7 linked regions of the Xenopus tropicalis genome follow. The protein of the gene in region 3 interacts with the protein of the main gene of each other region in a pairwise test. Links are inferred from orthologs where the notes say so. Each region holds a gene or a part of one and is shown on either strand. Other genes may lie near its edges. The genes, in order: akap6, crnkl1, cdc5l, myt1l, sfr1, akap9 and exoc7.

What was found.
Region 1: the proteins of cdc5l (region 3) and akap6 interact in a two-hybrid assay, tested with the Homo sapiens proteins (2 studies listed by BioGRID and IntAct). The link is inferred for Xenopus tropicalis from reciprocal best matches to the Homo sapiens genes CDC5L and AKAP6.
Region 2: the proteins of cdc5l (region 3) and crnkl1 interact in a two-hybrid assay, tested with the Homo sapiens proteins (2 studies listed by IntAct). The link is inferred for Xenopus tropicalis from reciprocal best matches to the Homo sapiens genes CDC5L and CRNKL1.
Region 4: the proteins of cdc5l (region 3) and myt1l interact in a two-hybrid assay, tested with the Homo sapiens proteins (2 studies listed by BioGRID and IntAct). The link is inferred for Xenopus tropicalis from reciprocal best matches to the Homo sapiens genes CDC5L and MYT1L.
Region 5: the proteins of cdc5l (region 3) and sfr1 interact in a two-hybrid assay, tested with the Homo sapiens proteins (2 studies listed by BioGRID and IntAct). The link is inferred for Xenopus tropicalis from reciprocal best matches to the Homo sapiens genes CDC5L and SFR1.
Region 6: the proteins of cdc5l (region 3) and akap9 interact in a two-hybrid assay, tested with the Homo sapiens proteins (2 studies listed by BioGRID and IntAct). The link is inferred for Xenopus tropicalis from reciprocal best matches to the Homo sapiens genes CDC5L and AKAP9.
Region 7: the proteins of cdc5l (region 3) and exoc7 interact in a two-hybrid assay, tested with the Homo sapiens proteins (2 studies listed by BioGRID and IntAct). The link is inferred for Xenopus tropicalis from reciprocal best matches to the Homo sapiens genes CDC5L and EXOC7.

Annotation. Positions count from the first base shown.
Region 1 is NC_030684.2:113,436,969-113,440,972, reverse strand, and holds the start of akap6 (A-kinase anchor protein 6), read right to left. Parts: upstream 2,801-4,004; 5' UTR 2,714-2,800; intron 1-2,713. UniProt on the Homo sapiens protein: Binds to type II regulatory subunits of protein kinase A and anchors/targets them to the nuclear membrane or sarcoplasmic reticulum. May act as an adapter for assembling multiprotein complexes.
Region 2 is NC_030681.2:36,930,659-36,934,158, reverse strand, and holds part of crnkl1 (crooked neck-like protein 1), read right to left. Parts: coding exon 3,418-3,500; intron 3,330-3,417; coding exon 3,171-3,329; intron 2,892-3,170; coding exon 2,725-2,891; intron 2,531-2,724; coding exon 2,352-2,530; intron 1,908-2,351; coding exon 1,737-1,907; intron 865-1,736; coding exon 673-864; intron 324-672; coding exon 264-323; intron 1-263. UniProt on the Homo sapiens protein: Involved in pre-mRNA splicing process. As a component of the minor spliceosome, involved in the splicing of U12-type introns in pre-mRNAs.
Region 3 is NC_030681.2:148,162,113-148,166,191, forward strand, and holds the start of cdc5l (cell division cycle 5-like protein), read right to left. Parts: upstream 2,801-4,079; 5' UTR 2,606-2,800; coding exon 2,561-2,605; intron 1,703-2,560; coding exon 1,599-1,702; intron 438-1,598; coding exon 276-437; intron 1-275.
Region 4 is NC_030681.2:134,540,656-134,544,155, forward strand, and holds part of myt1l (myelin transcription factor 1-like protein), read right to left. Parts: intron 2,015-3,500; coding exon 1,955-2,014; intron 820-1,954; coding exon 676-819; intron 1-675. UniProt on the Homo sapiens protein: Transcription factor that plays a key role in neuronal differentiation by specifically repressing expression of non-neuronal genes during neuron differentiation.
Region 5 is NC_030683.2:27,812,626-27,816,713, forward strand, and holds the start of sfr1 (swi5-dependent recombination DNA repair protein 1 homolog), read right to left. Parts: upstream 2,801-4,088; 5' UTR 2,723-2,800; exon of another isoform or gene 2,681-2,722; intron 1-2,680. UniProt on the Homo sapiens protein: Component of the SWI5-SFR1 complex, a complex required for double-strand break repair via homologous recombination. Acts as a transcriptional modulator for ESR1.
Region 6 is NC_030682.2:31,455,244-31,459,413, forward strand, and holds the start of akap9 (A-kinase anchor protein 9), read left to right. Parts: upstream 1-1,370; 5' UTR 1,371-1,524; coding exon 1,525-1,578; intron 1,579-4,170. UniProt on the Homo sapiens protein: Scaffolding protein that assembles several protein kinases and phosphatases on the centrosome and Golgi apparatus. Required to maintain the integrity of the Golgi apparatus. Required for microtubule nucleation at the cis-side of the Golgi apparatus.
Region 7 is NC_030686.2:45,042,354-45,046,395, forward strand, and holds the start of exoc7 (exocyst complex component 7), read right to left. Parts: upstream 2,801-4,042; 5' UTR 2,746-2,800; coding exon 2,686-2,745; intron 1,339-2,685; coding exon 1,273-1,338; intron 968-1,272; coding exon 783-967; intron 632-782; coding exon 526-631; intron 359-525; coding exon 136-358; intron 1-135. UniProt on the Homo sapiens protein: Component of the exocyst complex involved in the docking of exocytic vesicles with fusion sites on the plasma membrane.

The sequences.
Region 1 (4,004 bases), on a different chromosome or scaffold from region 3:
AAATTTTTTAACCTGCCCAATTTCAGTCCAGGCCCGTCGTTTGTGCCCCTACACGGGCCGATAAGCTGCCGAATCGGTCTAAGGGACCCGATATTGCCAGCTACAATCGGCCCATGTATGGGCACCTTTAGGCCATACCAGAGCCCTTGTCACTTAGGGCTCACTCACACAATTTGGGGCACAATTTACTTTAGTGTAGTGCAAGATGCAAAGTGCAAAAACACAATCCCCCATGGTAATTGCACTTTCCACCCTGCACATTGAAAAATATACACAAAACAGAGTTCAGAGACCTGCATTTCCCCTGCATGTGATAGTGCTGTATTGATGAGGGGTGGGCAGGGAGAGACATTCCCTCTCCCATACCTTATCCATTTCCTAATTTCCCTAATTACCTCATTAAAGTTAGGGAGTGCTGGTGAGTGCAGTCTACAGCAGAGCTCTGTATGCACTACATTTCCCATCAAGAACTAGGCACAGAGGGAGGCCAGACTCTGGACTTAAGGTGCCACTTAGCCCTCTTCCACTCACCTCTGAGGACAAAGTTAATTACTCCTTAGATGTAGACAGTGCTACATGTAAAGGTTTCATATAGATCTGCGGTGGAAATAACTAAGGGTTGATGAAAATAGTCCTTGACCAGAGCCCACCAGGAATGCTCTGGTACTTTGGCAGGTCAGTCTGACCCTTTCTTCCCCAGGATATAAATCAAACACTATTTAGGCTGCTGCCACAAGAAAAATAGTAAATACATAAAAAAGCATTAGCTGCAACAGTTGCACATTTAGCAGAAAAAAAACATTAGGAAATAGTAAGGTAACATTCTAATACATTGCACAACAAAGGAGTTACACATTCTGCAGAGGGATTCTTAGCACATCTGAAAGGGAGTGAAAGGGATCCCCAGGGTGGGATCCTATTCTCGCCTGCCCCTTCGTATCAGGAAGCTTTTTTTCTACACCCCAGCTCCGCAGAGGGAGAGGGAAAATCAATACTGAGAGCAAGCCAAACTGATCCGGCCCTTTAATTCAGAGCTTTAAGGGGAACGCCCTATGGCCAGCAGAACTACGGAGGCCACAATGCAATGAAAGGCAATCTCTGCCTGCTACTATTATAGCACAACACCACACATGACATAACACAATGCCTGGCAAATTACTTACACTTCATAAGAACGGAACACAGACATATGGCTAGGCATAAAATTATAGTAAATACTGCATCTTGTCCAGCATCTCAACACCATAAAAAGAAGGGATAATGGCTTGAAAGACTGTATTGCTGCATTCTATTACCTGGGGTTACATCTGTCATTTGTGTCATTTGCCCATTTTTACCTATAAGTATAATGGATTTTTTTTCTAAGATGGTGCTTGGAAAGGCAATGAATATTATATACCAAGATAGCTGTTAGCTCAGGGGTGTCCAAACTATGTACTCCCTGATAATTGAAAGGGTTTCTGAGAGTTGTAGTTCAGCTGGAAGGCCACAGGCTGGATATATTTAGGTAGTTGAAGTGGTAAATCAATGCAGTAAGGCCTTGCAGCTTATTTACTCAAAGAGGCAAAGAAATATACTGATTGTTGTGTTGCCAATACATACCCAGTGGACATGCAGTGTGTAGGTTATTTGTGTGTCTGCCTTGTGACTCGTGTTCTGTTTCCTACAAGTATGTGCCATTAATCATGAGCTCCCCTGGGAAAATAATTATAATGGCATATCTAGAGTGCACATTTTCTGAGACAGAGCCTTTCCCTAAATGAGTCCCTTTCCCTAAATAATTTATTCCAGTTCAACTTCTTTTTGTTGGCTGTTAAAGCAGTGTCTTTAGGATTTTTTGGTTCTGGTCAACCATATGGTTGGACCCCCTTAGCTCATAACAAGGTCACAGACATATAAACACATTGATACCCAAATAAGTAAATAAGAATTCAGAGGGCACCAACTGGACTAGGGTACCCCTTAGACTCCAGTAAGGTAGCCTTTTCCATAGCATTTAAATTCATTCCTCCATGCAGATGTACAGCACATATCTATATACACTGTAGTTTGTAACTTTGACAATTAAATATGCTTTGTAGTATTGTAGTAGGCATTCTTGTGGATCCATGATTAAAACAACATTCTCAGTGCCTCTAGAACTGATCAATAAACATTGTTTACGTTTACACATGATCGTGAGATCTTTATTAGGCACTGACGTTTACTATAACAGGGATCATAATAAATACCAAGTAAGGGAACATGATCACACGTATATATAGAAATAAGTGGTATGCTTGTGCATGTGTGTATTTAAATATATATATATTTATATTTATATGCACACACAGGAACTGAACTGTAAGCAAGAAATTCTCCCACTGGAATATGTATATATGTTGGTGTGTGTGTGTATATACATAGAGAGAGAGAAGTAGAGTATGAGAGAGGTAAGAGAACAGATATGTGCTTGTGTTCTATATATATATGTTTGTGTGTGTGAGAGAGAATATTGTGCTCTATACATGCCTGTCTGTTTCCTTTGACAGAGGCCTTTGTCTCCTAGTCTGCATATCATGGGCCTGTATGTATTGTATTCATCCTCCTCCCATTCTCCCTAGGCTACCGGGTGGGTACCACTCCTCAGTGGGCTCCGGCAAGATAGTCAGAGCAACCTGCATCCATCACAACATACTCTCCAGGATCGGCCCATGGTCTTGGAAGAACTCACCTCCTCTCGGGCTGCGCACGCTGCGTCTGAGGCTTTGGGCGGAGAGCGGCTGTTCCTGTGACCCGCTGTATGATGCTGCGAGATCGACTCAGATGATGCTGCTCATTAGGGTTGCAGTTGCCGTGGAAACCTGGGATGTGATGGAGAGAAAAGGGGTGGGAGGACGGTTAATCCTTGGGATGATGGGATGTAACCTGAGACCAGCATTTAACCTTCTCACTGCTGGGCTGCCAGTCATGAAAATCAATTGTATGGGAACACATTAAAAAAAAGGGTGGTGCCATGTAAAGTGGTACAGAGATTAAACTATAAATATCAGGATGCCCAGATGCAATCCCACAATAAAGGGATGCTACTGCTGCTTCCTTAACCATTCAGAACACAATGACCTGACAGCTGGCAGCAGAAGTGAATCGAGTGGCAAAAGCACTCAAATAAAAGGGGTGAGCTAAAAAATAGGTGCTGCGTTATTCAGAATGAGGGCGTATGACTAGGCAGGAAGGATGCTGCTGGCTCCATTATTAGATCTGAGCTAATTCTGTGATAAGGAGCTCATTACCAAAGACTTTGTCATCATTTACAAAAAGGCAGGAATGCCATTAACTCTTGACTAACCTGCCCAAGGCACATAATAGTCATGGGAGAAGCAGTCTCAGCAGGCCCCTGTGAGCGCAGGCTGTGCAGTCTCTGCTTTTGCTCCTGCCTATACATACTGTTTGTATACATTAAATTGCCAGACCCCATAAATGACAGCCTGTATTTTCTAGAATGTGCTGAATGGAGAAACCATACATTCAATGTAAAGAAACATGGGCCATTAGCTCTTATCATTTCTTGTGTTTCTTTTGTTCTTAGTAGAATACAATGGACCTGCAAACACTTTACACAGGATAAATAATAGTGACACAGTGCAAAGGGTCTCTGTCCAGGGTGCTGAGGGGAATATAAAGTAAATGGGCCAATTTCAGCTGCCGATATTGGTCCTTTAGAGCGATTTGGAAGCTTATATGCCATGGATGGGCACCAACGACAGGCCTCCACAATCGACATATGGCCTGAATTGGACAGATCTCAATCGGACAGGTTTGATTCTTCCGTTGGGAAAGGTTCGATTTTTCTGTCAGATCAGGGGCTGCATCAGTTTGTTGATGCGGTCCCCGCCTATAGCCGCCATTTTAATTTGATTGTTCGTCCCTAGGTCCCAAAGACTAAATTAGTCTAGTAGTTGGGCATGTCGGGAGAAGATCCTCGCCAAGCGAGCAGATCTTACCGTGTATGGCCGCCTTTAGAT
Region 2 (3,500 bases), about 110 Mb from region 3:
AGCAGTAAGAGCCCTAATATTTTAAGTTAAAATTCAAGATGGCTGAAGACATAATTAAAACAACAAAATCTCTCACTCCTGTGCAGAGATCATTACTATCACGTGAGGCAGATCAGCATTCACCCCTACCTGGTGTTGTGCACAGCGGCTGAAGAGTGGGCTGTTCTGCCTAGCTACAGGCAAATCCTCAAATTTAGGACTAGAATTTAGTTCGTAAAATGACATAAGGCTCATGGAAAACAAACAATTACAAAGACTCTTACTTTTTTGTGAGGGATTAGTTCTAAGCAGGCCTGGTAGACTTGCCTTGTTCTCTCTGGGTCCTGAAATTCAAAGTATGTAAAAAAACCATTAAAATCTGTCCATTAGCTAAGTGAAAAAAAATTTGGTTTGGTTTAGGGTTATTCCTTTTTTTCCTATAACACGCTGCTTTTATAAAAGGAAATGCAACAGATCCAGTCATAATAATCACACTTTATAAAGTGTATATGATCTATGTTTTTCAGACTGTTTTCTGCATTAAGAGATGTCTGACACACAACTGCCATCTAGCGGGCAAAAATGTGCAGTGTAATTCAATGTAAATATGCAGACAAAGAATGTCTGGTGCGCGCAGGATGCTAGGTTATTACACAGTTACAAGAGTTTCTTGTGGATTACAATTTTTTTCACCTTTGCTTCTAGCTCCTCATACAAGGCATAGTTTATCCACAGATAAATGTATCTCTTCCAGTGTCTCTTCTCCTTTGTAGGTGGGACATTGGCAATAGCCCGTTCATAAACTTCTCGAACTGTGTCAGGATCAGCATCACTTTCAACCAGCCGCAGATAATCAAACCAAGCATCGTAATTATGAGGATTTGCCTGGGGAGAAAGACATTTGTATATTTATCAAGTGATTTCTCCATCTTGTGCCATTTTGTTACCTATTGCTGAATTGCTCTTCTGGCATGAGATGTGACCAACTGCAGCTGTGTTATTCATTACGAACATATTTAAAGCTCATTTCATTGTGTCACAAACATTCGGACAGCACAAGTGTTTGTTACTTCCTATTCTGTTTCTATCCTATACAAAAAATAGTGCAGTGCAGACTAGAAAAACTATGCAAGCTCAAAATAATTTATATACTGTAATATGCAAAGAAATGGAAACTACCCAAGGACTACTGTTCAGGTTATGCCATAAGAAACATGTTAAAAAAACAAAAAAAAACAAAACAGTTTTGTGGTGCCAGTCAGTATTTCTATTTACTGTGGGCCATGTGTGCTAAACTGATCTTTCACATTAAACTTATGGGCAGAGCAGTGTTTGGGTACTGATTTACTATCACCATAAAAGTAATGATAGAGGGGCAAGTCGGTCGGTCACTTTCAAAAGCAATTAACCTGCGGCATGTTGCCAGTCACACACATCAAGAAAAGAAAAATCTGTAGTGTTTGAGGTCAGCTTCTTGACTGCTGGCACTTAAGATTATTTGATCTATGGCAGGCAATCGGTTAAATCTACTTAAAACTATACACACATTGCTCCGTTGCTAGAATAGAGTTCCTAACAACATTATCTAGCAGTAAACAGACTAAAAACAGTTCAAATGCCTAGAACCACCCTAAATTGGTTTAAGTACTATAAGTACGTGTATAGCCTACTTGACCCTGGTCAACTAAATAGCTTTAGTCTTTGCAAGCTTACTCCTAGTTGTGTTTTCTGTGTTGCATAAAATATTGCTCCCTTACCTTTACTTCTTCTTCATACTGGAACCTCCGTTTGTTGACTATAATATCTTCAATACCTCTCCGGTCACCATATTTCTTCTCAAAAATAGTGTAATTCTTGAATAACTCTTGGGCCTGTTGCTTTGATATTCTGTCCAAAGCATATTTATAGATGACACGGACTCTTTCAAACTGTGTAGAGAACAATAAACATGCTGAATAGGATGTAATCCTGTTGGAACTTTAACACAGTTACAGATGTCATCTGCATCTTCTATCACCAGATGACAAACAGCACATCATCATCCCAGGCTGGTCTCCTTGGACCTAAATTACATTCTATTTCACCCGTTTGTTGGGAATGTGGCAGTTTTTAGAATTAAAACAAATTGGAAGAGTAAACACATTTTTATGTAGAGAAACTTGATTTTAAACCTATTCTAATGCAATAAGACAGTAGTAGCTACATCTAACCTCACAGGAAAGGGAGAAGATAAGGAGCTGAAAACAGTTGCTAGGGTCAATTACTGACATATACAGAGCCTTGACAAATTCATTAAATGTGCTCCCATTGATGTCTCCCAATTTAATACAGTTTAAAATAACACAGCTTGGCTAAAGTAAATTAAAACTCACTTCTTTTTGATGCTCTTCAAATTTAGCAAATGAAACATACAGGTTTTCATCCATGTGATCTTCCCCGAAGAATTCCACGGACCTTTCATAAACTTTTCGTGCGTGGGCAATATAACCGTGCTTCTCTTCAAAGCGAGCATATTTGATCCAGTTCTTCACATCAGGGTGCACAATTACAAGTACACAGATGTTAAAGAATCAAATTTTCTGTGATATTTATGTTTTTACTTTGTACAGGTAAGGGATCGCATATCGGAAACCCTTGAACCCTAAATAGGTTTTAGTTGCAATGTTGGCATTATTGTACATCACAGCACCCACTCTAAAGAATTTCTTAACATAGTAACTTATCACATTTATACACAAAGGATATATCTCTCATAAATAGACCTGGCCCGGTCCACCTCTTTGTATCTGAGCTCAAAGTTGATGTAAGAATGCCAAGCTTGCTCCTCAGGTTGCCACTCCATCCAACGTTCAAAAACCTGCCGCGTTCCAGCCACATTTCCGAGCATCTCTTCCATATAGGTATACTTGTACCTTCAAACATCAAAGCACTGTCTTTTATTACTCGAAGGTCAAAACATTTCTTATGCTACAGCACAATCAATTTTCTAAAGGACATAAAATCACGACAGAAACAAGCTACATATTATCTACATTGTACATAGGGATTATCGACCTTAAGTTGCAGCACTCCTATAACACAAAATCCTTTACTAAAAAGTTACCCCCATAACTCCATATATTTCTAATTATTTTTGGTTACCTATATGTATAAATCAGCATAGTCTTTCCTTTGAAAAGTGACAAACCTACCAGAACTGATTGACCCTGGGTAGGGTAGTGATTGCTCTGTCCCAGATATTTCGTGCATGATTAACCTGGCGGCTCTTCATCTCCATCTCTGCATACTTCAGCCATAGTGTAATATTTCTGTAATCCACATCTAAAGCACGTTCGTATATAGACCGTGCCCTAAAAGCAAGAAAAAAAATTCAAATCATTAATAAGCGTAAATTTAATTTTAAGCCATCTATGCCAATTTAATTAAAAAAGTGAATACCTCTGAATTTCCTTTAGACTTTCCTCCCATTGTGCATATTTTATCCAGTTACTAATAACCGTCCTGTTCTTCCTAATGTTATC
Region 3 (4,079 bases):
AAATTACTGGTCCTTTAACTAGCAAATGCTATGGTCAGAATCCCTAATAATCAGGTTTGGGCTGGTAAACTATACCTCAGTATGGGGTAAAAACAAGCAAAGGACACAATAGCGATTAAGAAAAAAACCCATATCAAATTCCTCTTCTGGTTAAGGGTACAGTTACTTCTTGCCTGATAGAATGGGAACGTATTCACACTGCTGTATCAGAAAACAACTGTTCAAACTGCTCAACAACAATTCAAATGTACATTTTCAGAATGAATGGTACGTACAGTAAATATTCATAGTGCTCAAGGCACTGGGCGGCTGTTCTTCCTATGATAGGAGCGATTGTCCTCCACTGAGTTGGCATCAGCTTGGCCAGATGAAGTAGTTTCTCCTCTTCTTCTCGGGACCATTCTGTCTTTTTGATGCTTGGGTCAAGCCATTCATACCTGTCACAGAGACATTAAACGAATTTAGCAACCAATGTTACTACAGATATTCAGAAGGGCACTTGGTAATTGTTAGCTTGTCTGCCAACAAATCTAAGTGAAAGCATGGAACTTAATTTGACTGTGATATCACTCTGTTTTTTGTTAAAGAGCCCCACACAACACAGAAATCCCTAATATACCTATCACTGAAATCTGTTCCGTCAAAAAGTAAAAATAAATACCATTTTTATATGCTGAAATCCAGCTGCAAAACAGTCCTTCTCTTTCTGCATCATTTGAAATCCTGGCAGGGGAGAAGGGACTAAAACACTGATGTTACAGATTGTAACAACTTCTCCACAGCTTACAGACAGCATGCAGGAACTACATAACCCACAATGCATTGCACTAGGATGTTCCTTTCCTTATTGACATCACGTGTGCAGCAGGGGATTGTGGGATTGGGAGGATGAAGGCTGAAGGCAGGCTGGGGACAGGCGACTACTGTTACATTTTATTTGAGTCACAAAGTAGCCAGCCAGATCAGCAGGGGAACAGGGGGCGGGGCTTAGGGAACTGTTCCAAACCATATTATTACATTAAAAACCATGAAAAGGCTGCATACTTTTAATTGATATATACTGCTTGAAATTATGTTTACTTTTTAAAAAACTTAAAATACTTTAAATGCTCATAGCAGAAGATTACACACTGAAACAATTTCCTAAATGTTTTCAGGGTGCAATATTGGGCTAATATATCAATATGTATGTATATAGGTATGTATGCATGTACATAGGTATGTATGTAGGTAGGTATGTATGTATGTATTGTAGCAATACATATTGCTACATGTATGTATACACATTTCTTCAAGGTGCATTTCTAGGTGTAACCCAAATTATCATTATTTATATAGCGCCATCAATATACGCAGAGCTTTACAGCCCAATGTTCAGTCACATGACCATGCCCTTCATTACAGACAATATGGATAGACTGTCAGTGCATTATGTGCATGTGTAACCCTTTCCATGCCTGCTTTGCCCATTCTCTTTACCCCCCCCCCCTTCCACCAATGCAGAATACCAGCTGTTGCGGGGCAGTTTATCTGGTTTCATATTAGAACAGGAACGTATGGAACGCTACGGGCCCGTGGCTATAATGGCCGGGACGTACCATCGGGCTTTGCACTGTTTGGCCGATTTCCTGTGCAGCAAGGAAGCAATACGAGACCACTGGTTTTTCCCATATTTCATAACAGCCGCTTTGAGGATTTCATCCTGAGAAAATAAAGAGGAAAGTGCGTTATAGTATATCAACACCACACATGAGAAGTGAGGGAGACATAGGGTACAGGGGTATCTTAGTATGAAGCAAAATGCATATATATATATATATATTTTTTTTTTTTTTTTTTTTTTTTTAAAGGTTTTGATGGATTTCCCTTCCCCTCTGTCCCTATCCATCTTTCAAAACGTAGGGCACTGAGCCCAATTTTATTTTTTTTTACTTTATATTACTTTTCTATTTAGACCATTCTTCTATTCACCTTCCACACCACTGCTTAGCTGCTAGGATGAAGTGGACCCTAGCAACCAGATAGCAGATGAAATTCAAAATTGGAGAGCTGCTGAACAAACAGCTTAATCATTTAAAATAAAAACCCCACATTAAAAATGAAGACTGAGACTATAATGCAAATAGCTAAGGCATAACCCCCAGTGGCTGCAGTCCATAGCAACCAATTGACAACCAATGCAATCTGCTGATTCGTTGCTATAGGAAAACACACCTTGGTTGGAATTCGATCACAAAACAATCTGGCGAGCAATGGGATGCTGGGAGTTGTAGTATAAGTTGGCCCACCTATATTGGCTTTCTCTACAGGCCATAGAGGCACATTGAACTAGTTACCTGCACCTAAATTACACTATTATTTCCTATAATTAAGCAGCTCAGCTTCACTCAAATACTCCTGTGCAATTGGTCAGCTTTACAATCCTGAAACACTAACAGGGAAAAGGCCAAAGCACAAGCTGGGACCCTGTGAACAACAACTCCCAGAATCCCCTGTTGGAAATATCAAGGCGCCCATGTGAGTTCATTGAGCCGCTACACAACGCCATAACCCCTCTCACCTCGGTGTTCCGCCACACCCCGCCTTTTATCATAATTCGCGGCATCCTGGCTGCTGGTTAGGGGCCCCGGGCCCGCACGGTGTAGCAAGGAGAGAAACGGGGAAAGCGGCCTCCGGCTTGTTGTGCAAAGTGACGCGCACACACACCAGCGTGCCCGCCGCTCTACTGCTAGTCACAGCGCATAGCGAACATACAGTAACTCCCCACAGCGGCCTCTGGTGGCTGGAGGTTAGCATTGCATGCGGAACAACTGCGCCCTTAGCGGTAGCGGAACAACATTTACCAGAATTCCCCGGCAAGTGAGAGGAATTCCCTGGCAAGAGAGAGGAGAGGCATTATGGGAGTTGTAGTTTATCAGCTGCAATAGTGTGAAGTAATTGTAAAAGTGGTAAAGGTAAGGTTAGGAGATACCCTTTATTAGTTAAGTCACCTGAGTAAGTAAACATTGCAAGCTTTGGAAGCACCCAGGCTATTTCAATGGCTAATATGGTAGAGGTTTAGGACCTGTTATTCAGAATGCTTAGGACCTGGGGTTTTCCTGATAAGGGATCTTTCTGTAATTTGAATCTCCATAACTTACGTCTGCTTAAAACCATTTAACCATTAAATAAACCCAATAGGGCTGTTCTGCCCCAATAAGGGGTAATTATATCTTAGTTGGGATCAAGTACAGGTATTGTTTTATTATTACAGAGAAAAGGGAATCAATTAACCATTAAATAAACCCAATAGGGCTGTTCTGCCCCCAATAAGGGGTAATTATATCTTAGTTGGGATCAAGTACAGGTATTGTTTTATTATTACAGAGAAAAGGGAATCATTTAACCATTAAATAAACCCAATAGGGCTGTTCTGCCCCCAATAGGGGTAATTATATCTTAGTTGGGATCAAGTACAAGTTACCGTTTTATTATAACAGAGAAAAGGGAATCATTTAACCATTAAATAAACCAAATAGGGCTGTTCTGCCCCCAATAAGGGATAATTATATCTTAGTTGGGATCAAGTACAGGTACTGTTTTATTATTACAGAGAAAAGGGAATCATTTAACCATTAAATAAACCCAATAGGGCTGTTCTGCCCCAATAAGGGGTAATTATATCTTAGTTGGGATCAAGTACAGGTACTGTTTTATTATTACAGAGAAAAGGGAATCATTTAACCATGAAATAAACCCAATAGGGCTGTTCTGCCCCCAATAAGGGGTAATTATATCTTAGTTGGGATCAAGTACAGGTACTGTTTTATTATTACAGAGAAAAGGGAATCATGTAACCATTAAATAAACCCAATAGGGCTGTTCTGCCCCCAATAAGGGGTAATTATATCTTAGTTGGGATCAAGTACAGGTACTGTTTTATTATTACAGAGAAAAGGGAATCATTTAACCATTGAAATAAACCCAATAGGGCTGTTCTGCCCCAATAAGGGGTAATTATATCTTAGTTGGGATCAAGTACAGGTACTGTTTTATTATTACAGAGAAAAGGGAATCATTTAACCAATAAATAAACCCAA
Region 4 (3,500 bases), about 14 Mb from region 3:
TCAACTCCTCATGTATTCCTGTGATTATTCCTAGGGATTAGTGAATTTGTCCCATTTTGCTTTGTTGAAAAATTTGGGAAACTGCTACAAAATTTGTGAAACAGAGAAAAATATACGTCAAATGCATTTAAGTCAACAGTAGCGATGGGCGAAATTTTTCGCCAGGAAATGAAAATTGCGGAATTTCCATGCCTGGTGAAAAAATGTGTTTATTACTAATTATTCCTTATTACCCCCTCCTACCACAGACCAGGAACTTATATTAAAACTATAATTCCACACAATTACATTATATTACTAATGGGCAGGTTGGGAACCACAAAATATCCTTAGAGAGACACATTTAGCTAGAAGGCTTCCACATAGGCAGCCCTGATTGTTATTTTTATACTATAGTTCTTGATGTCTATAGCTGCAGTCTTTAACTCAAACAAACAAATACAGTAATTGTGTTTTAATAAATGATGAATCAATTAGCAAGAAGTCAAAATAAAATGCATGTGGAATTCCATCAAGAGCTTTATTGTTTCAAAGTATCATCAAATTATCTGATGTGTTAAGTCACAACATCAGAATGTTGTAAATGTTGAGAAAATAATGTATAAAATAATAGGCATATAGATGAATATTTTGACAGCAGATACATAGGTAATGATACTACACTATACTACTTACCATGTGGGGCAGCTGGATATTAGCTAGACTGTTAATTAAAGACTGGCTCAGATTGGCCAGCTCATGAAGAAGAGACTCATTTTGCTGTTCGATTGCTTTATTCTCTTCCTCAATTGTCTTCAGGTTGCTCTCCATGGTGGTAATCTAAAAAGTGCCAATATGTGCAAAAAATAATATAACAATAGTTATAACAGCATGCGTTTAGTAAAAAATGACCATTAATGCAAATGTAAATGTGTGATGTCTAATTATTTGTTAACTTATGTGAACATGCTTTTGGGTAAAGGAGATTCCGATGGAAAATAATTGTTACAAGCCTTGATTAATGCTTGTTATACAGAGTGTGGATCTACAGCTACCTGTCAGATAACCCCAATGGCTAATCCTGTAGTGTGACTTTAGCTTACTTTTATATACGAGTGCATTTTGGGGGGACGTAAACAATTCTGAGCTAAACTTGTATGAGTGTAGTATGTGCAGTGGCGTGTAGTTGAATTTTGAGTGTGTGGCTGTTACTTAGAAAGATGGCCTTATAATAAACAACACCTTGAAATGAAACAAAAATCTTGTCAACTTTCCTACCACAAACAGAAAATGGTCCCTGTTTTTAAATCTGAAGGGGGTTGGATAGAATTTGCTAGACTTTACTTTTATCTATTTAACACTCTAATTATTCCCCCTTCAACTGCATTTAGCAATGACAGTAATTATCACTAATTATAGCAATTACCTCCTAAGGTTAAAATATCCATTACATTTTTTATATCCATGTGATGCCTCATCTTCAAACATTATCAAATTATCTAAAAATTTTGTCTGTAATATTTATAAAATAATATTGCTGGCTATACAGGAGGAAAGTACTTTATGCTACTTTTGTAGGTAATCATTCTTTTTTGTGTTAATACTATGTGAAACATTAACTGTACTCTTCTAGTTCTGTTAACAGACATTTATTTTACTATCTTTCATTTACATGAACGAGAACTGTATCTATGTTCTAATGCTCATCCTATATCAGTCCTGTCCAGCCTGGGGTGTGTGGACAACACATGCCCTTTCAAAAATGGCTTCCAGACACATTGGACAGGATTAAAAGTGAATCTGCTAAGTTATAATCTTCTAATAGTCTATAGTGATATTGAGGGATACTGATCTAGCTGATATATAAAAAGAACAAACTCATGGACTGTTTATGAATAACTTTTATTCTTCAAAGGCTGAATTTCGTGTAAGTTACATGGAAAAACCACACAACCTCCCCTCCCGTGTAACTTACATGAAATTGGTATTCATCAACACAGGGTTCTTGGCAAGCAACAGGGCGCTCGTCCAGTACCTAGTGGGAGGGAGCAGAAGCTGAAAAGGGGGCAGAGAATGAGGCAAAAGAGGTGGAACTGATTCCGATGAGCAAACAATGTATGTGTATAAATTAGGCTGAGTTTATATATTTTAGATGATGGATTAATAGAAGTTTTTTTTTAATTTTATCCATGGAGTTTTTTGAAAATTTGCTGTGACTCCCCTTGATACTGGGGCCTTGTTTGTACTCCTTGGTTTATATTTTGATGTGTTAACATCACTCAGCAATTCGTTTGTTTTTTTTTTTTGCGTTATTGTGTATCAATTAGAAACGTTTTGGAGATACTAGATGAACTGTTAGAATAGCCTTATGGCTGGTCTAACTTCTATGCCATCCAGCCCTGCTCAGCATTGAAAATAGAATGCCATTTGATTTATTTTCCTTTTCAGATACCCTTCAGTGATGTTTGTGTTTAAATTCCACCTCTTTTTATTGTAAAATCAGAATTACTAGATTCTAAAATAAATAAGAGCAAACAAAAAAAAAACATCATTCCGCATTTGACTTAAAGAATCTCAGTGTCTTTAGACAATTTCCCAGGATAATATCATCATCCAAAAAATTCATTTCGTTGGAACGGTTAATGTTTGTCGAAGAAACATATTTATAAGTAAAAGATTCTACTATAATTCATTCCAGTTTCACGTATATAGTGCCACACAATTGAATGTAACACTGGGGAATAACAGATGGTAACAAGCTGGTTCTCATCCTCACCCTTAGCCTCCATGTATTTGATTTTTTTTTCTAGACTATTAATATATAGAGTTGATGTCTTGGTTGATGAATACCATGCAGCCAACATGAACATGTGGCCACAGAAAACGGTATTTACGAAATTACGGATGCGCCCACATGCGTCACATAATGATGTAACTTGGACATGTCATGCACATGCACCACACAAAGCATTGTTAGTGCTGGCTTTTGAAAGAGGTTTTGATGACAATGATTTTTAATCATTTTGGGCAACACATTTTTTTTTTTTTAATTTTGAATAATGTTGCAGTTTCTTACTTGGTCATTTCGTTGAAACAAAGATAAATAAAGTCAGTCATTTTATATAACAATAACAAACATGTGGTCTAAGCAGGAACGTTCCAGTTTCAACTCCTGATCATAGCTAGGGCAAAACTGGGAGATACAGTTGCCTTGGAATTAATGCTGTGGCTAAACAAGGGTAAACAAGAGGGTGGAAATAGAATGTTAGGAAGTTAGACTACTGCTAAAGGGGACCTGTCACCCTAAGAAATAATTCCAGATTGTTTTCAATTGTGTTTGCCAAGCAAAATAAACTTCACTTACACCATATAAATTAGTTGAATCTTATTTTCTTCAGCCCTGGAATTCACAGTTGCAGCAAGCAGACAGGCACCATTTTGTGGTAACTGTTATTAAGGCAAGCTTTGAATCCTGCCAAAATCTTATTTCTGTGCCAGTATTGAGGGACCTGATGCTCATG
Region 5 (4,088 bases), on a different chromosome or scaffold from region 3:
AGCTTTGCAAATATATGGTTTGACACAGAGAGACTGTGGGCTTTATGGGGCAGGGACTTCCTCGTGACACTTAGCGGTTGATTCACTAAAGTGCGTTAAAACGAGCACTATTTATAGCATGCGGTAAAAATTTTATCGCTTCTTATTTTTTGCGACTTAACGCACGATTCACTAAAAGGACAGGCGTCATAATTAAGACTTTTAAGCATTTTAACGCAAAGAACAAGCATTTTGCATTAATTCCCGCCACGTGCGTTATTTCCCGCTGCGTGATATATTTTCGCCTGCTTGCTATATTAGCGCACAATTTTACGCACGTAACCATTACTTTCGGAAAACTACTTTTCTGAAAATGACCATTTCCCTGAAAATTGGAGGATGCATCACTTTAGGGCCAACACATACTTGAAAAAATCCCACTGCAAAGTCCATGTTGTGTTGCTAAAAGCTCACGAACCACAATTTTCTTTAAGTACTGCCTGCCCCAAATAGGTGTTAATTTTCGCACAGACTAATGCGATATTTAGCGCATTTAATGCTTTATATGTGTTTGTGACTCATGCGCTAGTATTATATCTATGCGAGAATTAACGCAATGCGAGGTAAATAATGCATGCAATAGTGCGTTTTTTTGCGCATGCGATATGCGACTTTGATTAATCAGTACTTATTTATTGTGTGCTTTTTAACGCAAAGAAGCATGCGAATCGGCCCCTTAATGTCTTATACTTATTTATTATGTTTGTTCTCCCTGTGTACTTTTCTATATTGTACATTTTTACAATATATTTTTACCTGTATCCTAGTAGCACTTTATAAATAAGGTTATGCATACATTTTAGAATTTGTTAGAATGTGTACATTTAAGAAATATAGCATTTTCCTCAACCTAAATTCCTTTTTTCCTCAAGTTAAATTACTTGTTTGGTTCTTGCAATTTAAGCTATGTCAGCTTCAGGTGTACTGGACACGGCCACATTTTTTATATAGGCACAAGAAGGCCAGTGCTTAGGGGAGACGCCATTGTGAGCCTACATAAGAAAAAGCTTCCCCTATCTTTTGCAAGTCCATGTGATGACTGGGCAGAGGACTGGTGCCTATGGCACTGCCACACCTAAATATACCTCTGGCTGTACTTTGAAAATAAGGTATTATACAGCCATGACTTTTTGGTCTATACAAGTCAGAAATCTCCATCTATCTATATTTATTTTCCAAATCATTTGTATCTTTTTAACCATATCATAAAATGTGTTGATCAATTTTTCAATATGAAAAATATGTTTATATGTAAAAGTCAGATTCTTGTCCTCAAAAAAAAAAAAAAAACAAAGAAATACATATTTTAATATACTAAAATTTTCCCCAGAAGATTACCCCAAAGTGAAAAAACACAAAGTGTAAACAGTGGCCCTGCTGAAAGAGTCAAAAAGCCTTTAATTAGGTTTTTTTGCACAAACCACAACACAGTGTTGTCTGTACCTAAAATATGATCTTATCCCTATCTCTGTTAGGCTAATGGTACATGGGGCTTTTTGTCTACCACTGTATCCAGTTTTAAGAACAAGGGAATCTGAGGTTATTGGGTGTGCTAATGTGTTAGAAATCCAATCACTATTTTTTTCCCTAGGCAATACTCCCTTTATGAAAAAGACTGAACCGGTTCAAGTGCCTTTCCACCATTCTGAGTACCTTTCACAGGCGTCGCTAGCACTGACTTCCATTTGCGCAAGTGCAGGACAGTTAAGTCAGAATATGTTACTCTGCTGCTAGTGTGCAAAGCCAAACAAGTGATACCGGGGAGGGAAGTAAAATGGCGGCCTGAGGGGATAGCAAACAAATTCACCGGGGTTCAGCAACACCTGTTAGCCTGCACACAAGCACTGAAGTCTGGTCTTTCGGCACTTGGTCTGCATCTGCCGGGGGCACTTTCCATTTGGCCCATGACTAAGTCCCCTAGGGCATGAGACGCGTGGGGTTTATGAAGATGTTTAATGCAACTTTTAATAAAAAGTCTTTTTACTTTAAAACTTTGTGACCCCTGTGGAGATTCCCGAGTGCCTATTTGCCCTTAGTGGAAGCCACTTTCCATTTCTTTTCCATTCCAATTAGTAGCGGTGACAGGCAAGTTTGCACTGGCAGTTTTCCATTGGATGCCAGCTCCCTGTATGCCATATTGTGATTCTCTATTACTATTATCATATTGTGCCCCTCAATAACTGTAATATACATTACTCTGACTGATGCCTGGTCTTCCCTGTCCCTACACACTGTACCTCATAGCCCTTTTGTATTGTAAACTCTAATGAGCAGAACCAACTACCCCCCTGTATTGCTCACTATTTCTATGTAATGTGCATGCCTCATGTATTATATCATCATATCCAATTTCCAAGAATAAACGGTACATCGAAGGACATCATATTAATCAATGATACCGGGGACTTATCTGTATTTAGCTTAAGTAACTAATACAGGGACGTTTTAGCAGACATGTCAGAGAGGCAACCATCATTCTCTCACAGTGTATATATGAGGAGCCGGGGATGAGGGTGAAATCCAGGCACCGCCAGGTTAAGGGAAGAAAGATCAAGTTATTCACTCGGCCAAACCTAATAAACCAAGTCGCAATACCGAGCCGCACACAGAGCCGCACACACACACACACAGCCGCACATACCTTCCTTACTTCCCGCCTACAAACTCTCTGCGTTCTGTTTACCTCCATGTAAAAGAAGGCGGGCTACTATTGCTTTCCCCTCCTCTGCGATCCCATTGGTTGCTTATAGACTAGCCCGACGCATGTGCGTAAAGGCTCCTCTCCCAGAGTTCCGTGCAAAAGTCTCCTCCCATTGGGCGGGGAAATGGCTAAACCCGGAAGTAGAAGTGAAGCCCGTACCTACTGTAGTGTATTTATTGATCTGCTCAGTTTATTGCGAGTTATTGAAAGGGGGAGGGGCAAGACAAAACAGACTTTGCTGCAATGGGTTCCCTGTAGTGCTGATAAAGCGTGGGAGGGGGGCAGGAGCTGACAGGTTGGGGTCGCACCTTTCCCTCTTTTATGCAGAAAATCCTGTGGCACTCTAGTAGTTTTTGCTCAGTAAAAAGGGTTTTATTTAGCCCATGTACATACAGGTGAGGCAATGGGCCCATCTTTTCTATGAACCCCCCCCTTCCTTTCTATCCGTCTCTAATGTCCTGTAATGTACTTATAAATAATAAAGTCCCCTTTCAAGTGCCTTATGTCCAGAGAAAACCCCCACACATTTACAGCCTCTCTCACAGTTTCTGTCATCATTTTTATTTCTAAATTACACTGTTTACATAGCAAATTATTCACTCTACCAACAAAATATATTTTTTTAGCTGTAATATTGGTGTGTAGGCGCCATCTCAGTGCATTGTGCCTGAGTCGGAGCTTTCAGAAGGAGCCAGCGTTACACATTGGAACTGCTTTCAGCTAACCTATTGTTTCTCCTACTCCCATGTAACTGGAGGAGTCCCAAGCCGGACTTGGATTTCTTACTATTGAGTGCTATTCTGATATCTACTAGAAGCTGCTATCTTGCTCCCTTCCCATTGTTCATCTGGGGGGGGGGGGGGGATATCACTCAAACTTGCAGCTTAGCAGTAAAGTGTGAATGAAGTTTATGAGAGCACAGGTCACATGACTGGAGCACCCTGGGAAATGAAGAATATGGCTAGCCCCATGTGAAATTTCAAAATTAAAAAAAGTCTGTGTTTTTGAAAAATGGATTTCAAGGTGTCTGCTCTCTTTCTCTTTGGCTGTATGGGGGTGATTTTTATGTGTTTCCCCCACCTACCCTTGAAAATGCAGGGCATGGTGCAAAAGAGTACAATGAGGCCTCTTGTCATTAGATGTTCCTGTAATGTGTTTCTGGGAGATCCTGGTTTAAGGGTAGGTGCAACGTGGGCTCAGGAAGCAGAGCATTCTGGCCAGAAGCTAAATATGGGGAAAATAAGCTTTAATTACCAATGAGGAATATACGCTGACAGTCACAGCACTGTACCCCTCTTCTTTAGAAAATGCACAAGACTTTCCATTGGAGCACTTTGCCTTCATGTTC
Region 6 (4,170 bases), on a different chromosome or scaffold from region 3:
CAACAACACTATACATTGGCACCAATAGGTCTTTGCACAACTATAAGGTTGATTAGCATTTTTTAAAATTTGCACTATAAGTTTGATTGAGGTGTGTTTACTAATCAGAATTGAGAAATTACTACACTACATATATATTTTTTTCTCTCTTTCTTTCTTTACCTCTTTTCTCTCTTCTTTCTTTGCTCTTTTTCTTCCCTTCCCTGCACATTTGCACCGGTTCACAGCATTAATAAGACTGCTACCATCCCCTCGATGTCTAAATACATTCGGTTTCTGTAACCCTTTTATTGAAAGTGATAAAGCTACCAACTGTAAACGGAACTTAAACACTGTTTTTCAGTAAAATGTATTCTCACTGTAAGCACACTGCCTCCAGTATCTGCATATTTGTATTTATACCCATGAGTAATTACTGCAATATTGCTTGTCAACAATAGCAACAGTAACCATAGTGGTCATACGCAGATCTCTTTTCTGTAGAGCTACTTCTGAGTTCAAGCCCATCACATATGGGATAATTCTTTATGTTTACCTTAATGGAACATAATATGAAGCCTCCTACAAACACTAGCTAAAAAATACGCTTTGATGCTATATACAAAGGTACTTGAACCCATAAACACTCCTTTGCATCTTGAAAAGAACACCAGTGTGCCCATTCAACCTGTTCTGACTCTGCACAAATGAACTGTACAAAATAATTCCAGGGTTCTCTTATAGGTTTTGTGAGCTAAATTACTATGAGCTAAAATTCCTCCTCATACAGCGATCACATATTGCTTTGTCAGAGGGGCCCACTGGGAGTTCTGGGAGTGCTCAAATAACTGGAATGTAAGAGGTGGGTAGAGACATCATCAATAAATACAGTTCAGATAGAGTAAGTACCGTTGCATTAAAGTAGTTCTGGTAAGAGTAATGGTACCTATATGATGCACCATATTCACAGCAGGGATTGGCCCTTGCTAAATGTTTTCAATGCAAAAACATTAGATGATTGGTTTGCATTGTAAACCAACAGCAATAACAGAGCATAAAGGTAAACTTGACAGATGTGTCTTTGTCTAACCTCAACTACTATATATCCAAAGTCATGCTATTGTTATAGTATACCATTTAAATTTTAGAGACAAAATAACTTTTTTAAGTAATAATTACAATTTAAAGAAAATATTACACTTAAATACCACGTTGTAAGAAAAGATTTCTCATTATAAGGACATGTGCTGGTTAAGTATAGCTCACATGCTAGATTGTCTTTGTTCTGTCTGTTTTGCACACAATGCCTTGGTGTGGGCAGTGCCCCTTTAAGTGTCTGGGAACTGCAGCAGCGCAACAGCAGCTGTCAACTCCTAGTTCTGCCACTGCTGCAATCGGTGCCGCCCCCACTGACTTCTCTCGCCGCTGCCGGGCGCTGGGGTGACGTCAGAGGAGTGCGCCGAATGTTTACGTGGAGATGGGAGAGAGCGGTAGGCGCTGTAGCTAACGCTGCGCATTGCTGTGTGTGTCTGTACAGGCGCAGGCATGGAGGAGGAGGACCAGGAGAGGAAGAGGAAGCTGGAGGCCGGCAAGGCTAAGGTAAGGGAATGTGGGGAGGCTTTGTGTCTGTGTGTGTGTCTCCCTCTGACAGCTGTCACTGGGGAAGGGGGGCTTCCATTGTTTGCATATTCCTGGCGTGCTGTGTCTGTGCGAGCTGTCCCGCCGCCCTGTTTGTCTGGGTGCCACCCTGCCATTCTGATGTGTCTATGTCACTGGCTCCATGTGTCACCTTCCAACCTCCTGTGTGTGTGTATGGCACCTTACAGCATTCTGTCCATGTGTCACCTTCCAACCTCCTGTGTGTGTGTATGGCACCTTACAGCATTCTGTCCATGTGTCACCTTCCAACCTCCTGTGTGTGTGTATGGCACCTTACAGCATTCTGTCCATGTGTCACCTTCCAACCTCCTGTGTGTGTGTATGGCACCTTACAGCATTCTGTCCATGTGTCACCATCCAACCTCCTGTGTGTGTGTATGGCACCTTACAGCATTCTGTCCATGTGTCACCTTCCAACCTCCTGTGTGTGTGTATGGCACCTTACAGCATTCTGTCCATGTGTCACCTTCCAACCTCCTGTGTGTGTGTATGGCACCTTGCAGCATTCTGTCCATGTGTCACCATCCAACCTCCTGTGTGTGTGTATGGCACCTTACAGCATTCTGTCCATGTGTCACCATCCAACCTCCTGTGTGTGTGTATGGCACCTTACAGCATTCTGTCCATGTGTCACCTTCCAACCTCCTGTGTGTGTGTATGGCACCTTACAGCATTCTGTCCATGTGTCACCTTCCAACCTCCTGTGTGTGTGTATGGCACCTTACAGCATTCTGTCCATGTGTCACCATCCAACCTCCTGTGTGTGTGTATGGCACCTTACAGCATTCTGTCCATGTGTCACCATCCAACCTCCTGTGTGTGTGTATGGCACCTTACAGCATTCTGTCCATGTGTCACCATCCAACCTCCTGTGTGTGTATGGCACCTTACAGCATTCTGTCCATGTGTCACCATCCAACCTCCTGTGTGTGTGCATGGCACCTTACAGCATTCTGTCCATGTGTCACTATCCAACCTCCTGTGTGTGTATGGCACCTTACAGCATTCTGTCCATGTGTCACCATCCAACCTCCTGTGTGTGTGTATGGCACCTTACAGCATTCTGTCCATGTGTCACCTTCCAACCTCCTGTGTGTGTGTATGGCACCTTACAGCATTCTGTCCATGTGTCACTATCCAACCTCCTTTGTGTGTGTATGGCACCTTACAGCATTCTGTCCTTGTGTCACCATCCAACCTCCTGTGTGTGTGTATGGCACCTTACAGCATTCTGTCCATGTGTCACCATCCAACCGCCTGTGTGTGTATGGCACCTTACAGCATTCTGTCCATGTGTCACCATCCAACCTCCTGTGTGTGCATGGCACCTTACAGCATTCTGTCCATGTGTCACTATGCCTTGCCATTAGCCACATTGTGCACATGTCACCCAAACATTCTACCTATGAGCCACCTTGTGCATGTATCACTCTATGTACCCTGGGGCCTTGTACCATTCCCTTCACTTGTGCATGTCTCTGTGCATCATTGTGGTACTTGCTTCACATCACTTTGCTGCTTGGTGCAACTGGTTTCTTGTGTCTCTGTGTGCTTTTGGTGTGTCTGGATCCTGTTTGCCTATTATGTTAAGTGCAGTGTATGTTTCACTTTGTGGTATTATATGTTTGTGTGCAGCTTCTGTGTCAGTATGTGCACAAAATGATACACATTCAGTGGAATACTTAATAGTTTTTAAACCCTCAACTATACAAATTGACTTCTATTTAGAATGTGTATCGTGCTTAAATCACTTTTTTTATCGGTGTTAATTTTACATGTATACCATGGGTAAGTGTTGTAGGGTGCGTAATTGTGTATCTGTTGAAGAGAAATACTTAAAAATAAACACACATTTATACCCACATATATGCCAAATGGCAGGTACATAGAATGTATGTGTACTTAAATAACTTTTTTCATTGGTGTAAGGTTTTTTGCATGCCATGGATTAGTGTTGTAGTGTGTGCATACAGAATATAGGTGCGAGTGTATGTACTTGTGTGTCTGTTTTCTTCCTATTTAGGTATACTTTTAATCAAGACACATTTATACCCACAACTGTATAAAATGGCTTGTATTTGGAAAGTGTATTTTGCTTAAATCACTTTTTCCATTGGTGTCAATTTCACATGTATACCATGGGTTACTGTTGTAGTGTTTGCATTCTGAATATAAATATGTGTATTTTTTCTTGCTGCAGAGCAACACATACCCACAGCTGTATAAAATAGTATATATTTTTGCATTGTGCATAAAGCACCCATGTCTATGCCAGGAGTTAGTGTGTGTGTGTGTGTGCCCATAAACAGTGCATGTTATTGCATGTCAGTGTAACAATAAATTATGCTCCCATATTTACCGTTTACTGCTTTCTGTGCTTCTTGGGTTAAATGCCTGTTTTTATTCGCTGAAAGTGTTGTGTATTCAGTGCAGCTACTTTGTAACACTGTATAGTTGTGCATATTTGCTAAAAGGACAATGTGTATGTGTTTTACGAAAGCATAAATCGTATATAGCCCTTCTCCTTTTTTA
Region 7 (4,042 bases), on a different chromosome or scaffold from region 3:
GATCGCAGGTGGGGTTAAGAATGAGAAACAAATGAAGTGAGACAAAGGGAAGTGAATATGGACTTGTAGGTGTTGAGCAGTGAGAGATGTTGGAGGTTTTGGGTTTGCTGTTCTAAGAGTGACCCAACTTCTCACCCTGGTTCCTCCCGTACTCCACCAGCCATTTAGAGATGCGTATGACATCCTGCAGGATTCCCTCAGGTAGGTGTTCTAGAACAGCCTCCTCCTGGCCCTCCAGCTCCTCCTCTGTTCCAATCAGGTCTAGAATGAGGATGGGGGGCACCGGTTTGCTGTATCTCTGCAGGAGACTCCGGAACTCAGTATCCAAAGACTCCTTCCCCCTCTCGAACAGGGATTTCTACGAGAATACAGGCAAAAGAAAACCATGACATCCACACTAGTAAGCACCGTCCTTACTATAGAACCGGCAAAAAAATATTTTATGGTAAAGGCTGCAAGCTAAGCGGTGAAACATATAATGGTGAAACATATAATGGACCACTTCCAGGGTGTCAAAGAACTTACCACTCTGTTTAACTCAGGGCTGTCTGGGTTGTTGTCTTGAAAATATTCCACAGCCTTCTGGATTTTTGCAATGCAGCCCAGGTATTCCTCTAGCCTTCCCGAGGGTCTGAAAGAAAACACACATCTCTACCAGATACTGGCGGCTTTCAACTGCGTGCCTTACGCAGCAAAGGCATTATCCCTTGCACTATACAAACAAGTAGGTTGAAAGCCCTAGAACGAATATCCGTATTATTATGCAATTCAATACAAATTACCCTTCTTTGATGATGCGCTCAGTTTCCGTGGCAACATGGTAGTAGCTGATGACATGGTCCAAGCAGGACAGGGTACGATCGACATTTTCCTGCAGCCGCTGCAGGGTCTCTGTTTGTTTGTGCACGGGAATAATGGAATTCTCTAGTTTCATCAGCCGACTCTCAAAAGAAGACAGGATGGAGACCTGTGTAAGGGATAGAAAGAAAGAAATAGAGGCTTAGTGGGAAGTGTTTATGTCTTGAAGAGAAAGCCATAGGTCACACTGTGCCAATTGGTGATATAATGTAACCATTTTTCTGTTATGGATACCCCCACCTGTGGGCACTGTACTGTTCTATCAGCAGCCACATATCCGCTTACAATCACCCTGGCAGAAGCACTTACACTACTGCCCCACTGCCCCAGCACCATTCTTGTACAGGTGTTTCAATGCTAAATCAGCTTAGGGCACAGCGACACTCCCAGCACCATATTAATAGCTACACTCACCATATTGTTTGTCAGCTGATCGCTCTTCTCCAGGCTCTCCTTGATGAAGGCTAAGGTTTCCTCTTCCTACAACATGGAAGATAAAGGGAAATGTCTGTTGGAAGTGAGCTTTGGGACATGTATAAAACCCGCACATATCAAAGACAATTTTTTTTCTGTAACAGTTATACATTGTGTGAGTCCTTTATTTTTTTCAGTTATGTGCTCCTCCCTTTCTGTTTTCCATTTTCATTCTTTTTCTCATTTCCTCTTTACATCCATTCTCTCAGCAGCTTTTCATCACTATCAGTTCTGAATGAGTAGCAAATGTATTTATTTTTTTAAAGTTTTTATTTTGAAATTTTCAAACAAATATTTAAACAATTACAGAGTAAGAGAGAGAAGCTAGGAGAAAACTAAGGTGAGGCAAGTGCGTTTAGTGTACTTTGACAGAATCAAGTTTATATATAGTCAGACATTTTATATGTTTAACCAAGTGTCCCATATAGCGTCAAATTTTCCCAGGCAGCCTCGTGCTAGATAGGTAAGTGTATCATCTACTAATTTTCGCCAGTATTGTAGCAGGGGGATCAAGAGATTTCCATTGCATTAGCTTTGCCTTTTTAGCATCATATAACAATTGTAAATAGCACATCCTGGAGTCAGACCGGAGCTGTAGGGCTCCTGTTATTCCCAGTAAGCATAGTTTAGGGGAGCGAAAGAGCTAATTTCTCATTAATGTATTGAAGTACCTCGCTCCAGTGTCTTTGAATTACAGGCCAAGACTGATATATAGACAGATAGATAGAGTAAAAGACATGACATATAGGTAGTGAATAGGAGAAAGATAGAGTGAGTGAGTGAAAAATAGATGATAGAGTGAGAGAAAGACATTTAGCGTAAAAGACATGATAGATGATAGATAGATAGATAGATAGATACATAGATAGATACATGATAGATAGATAGAGTAAAAGACATGATAGATATATAGATAGTGAATAGGAGAAAGATAGAGTGAGTGAGTGAAAGATAGATGACAGAGTGAGATAGAGACATTTAGCGTATAAGACATGATAGATAGATAGATAGATAGATAGATAGATAGATAGATAGGTACATAGATACATACATAGATAGATGATAGATAGATAAATAGATAGATAGATAGATAGATACATAGATAGATGATAGATAGATAGATAAATAGATAGGTACATAGATACATACATAGATAGATGATAGATAGAAAGTTAGATGATAGATAGATAGATAGATAGATAGATAGATAGATAGATAGAGTAAAAGACATGATAGATATATAAATAGTGAATAGGAGAAAGATAGATGATAGAGTGAAAGACATTTATAGTAAAAGACAATATAGACAGACAGACACACATTAATGTGAGATTTAATAACAAAACAAAATACCTGCTTAAGCTTTTCCTCTATAGTCTTCTTCCTGGCGGAGCTATCCTCCGAGGGGATCATTTTTTCTTAAGAAATTATTTGCAGCTAATATCCAAATATTTTAGGTTCAACTCCTCCGCCCTTCCTTTCGGATTCTGACATCAGATGTCAACATGCTTCACTTCCGCCCGGAAACGCTTCTCTCGTTCAGCCAATGAGCGGCCGCCATATTGGAGCATTCAGAACGCGGCGCCATATTGGAGTTGGAAATCGGCGGACGGGGCGCCATGTTGGAGGTGGCAAATTAAGGCGCCATATTTGAGTCATGTTGAAGTTGTGCCGACTAACTGAGGTCGTGATTAAATGAGAGTATGACTTATGGGGGGGAGATTTCTAAGAACAACATGTATATTTAATAGACTGAATACTTTTATGACGCGGTATATAAGGCCGACATTTTAAAAGAAGACGCTTGGGAAAAGCTATAGCATATATGCTTTGTGAGGAAAATGGCCAATATATACGTTCATGTATAGTAAATGAGTAAATGAGACTCATGTTCAGTCATGAAAGACTCTTGGTGAGACAGTCTTTGAGATACAGGTTATCACTAATGCATTTTGTATGTAAAGGACTTCCATTCCTACATGCAAGTCAGCTGGGAGAGACAGGTCAGGCAAAGAGACAGGTCAGGCAAGGAGACAGGCAAAGAGACAGGTCAGGCAAGGAGACAGGTCAGGCAAGGAGACAGGTCAGGCAAAGAGACAGGTCAGGCAAGGAGACAGGTCAGGCAAAGAGACAGGTCAGGCAAGGAGACAGGTCAGGCAAAGAGACAGGTCAGGCAAGGAGACAGGTCAGGCAAAGAGACAGGTCAGGCAAGGAGACAGGTCAGGCAAGGAGACAGGCAAAGAGACAGGTCAGGCAAGGAGACAGGCAAAGAGACAGGTCAGGCAAGGAGACAGGTCAGGCAAAGAGACAGGTCAGGCAAAGAGACAGGTCAGGCAAGGAGACAGGTCAGGCAAAGAGACAGGTCAGGCAAGGAGACAGGTCAGGCAAAGAGACAGGTCAGGCAAAGAGACAGGTCAGGCAAGGAGACAGGTCAGGCAAAGAGACAGGTCAGGCAAAGAGACAGGTCAGGCAAGGAAACAGGTCAGGCAAAGAGACAGGTCAGGCAAAGAGACAGGTCAGGCAAGGAGACAGGTCAGGCAAAGAGACAGGTCAGGCAAGGAGACAGGTCAGGCAAAGAGACAGGTCAGGCAAGGAGACAGGTCAGGCAAGGAGACGAGACAGGTCAGGCAAGGAGACAGGTCAGGCAAGGAGACAGGCAAAGAGACAGGTCAGGCAAGGAGACAGGTCAGGCAAGGAGACAGGTCAGGCA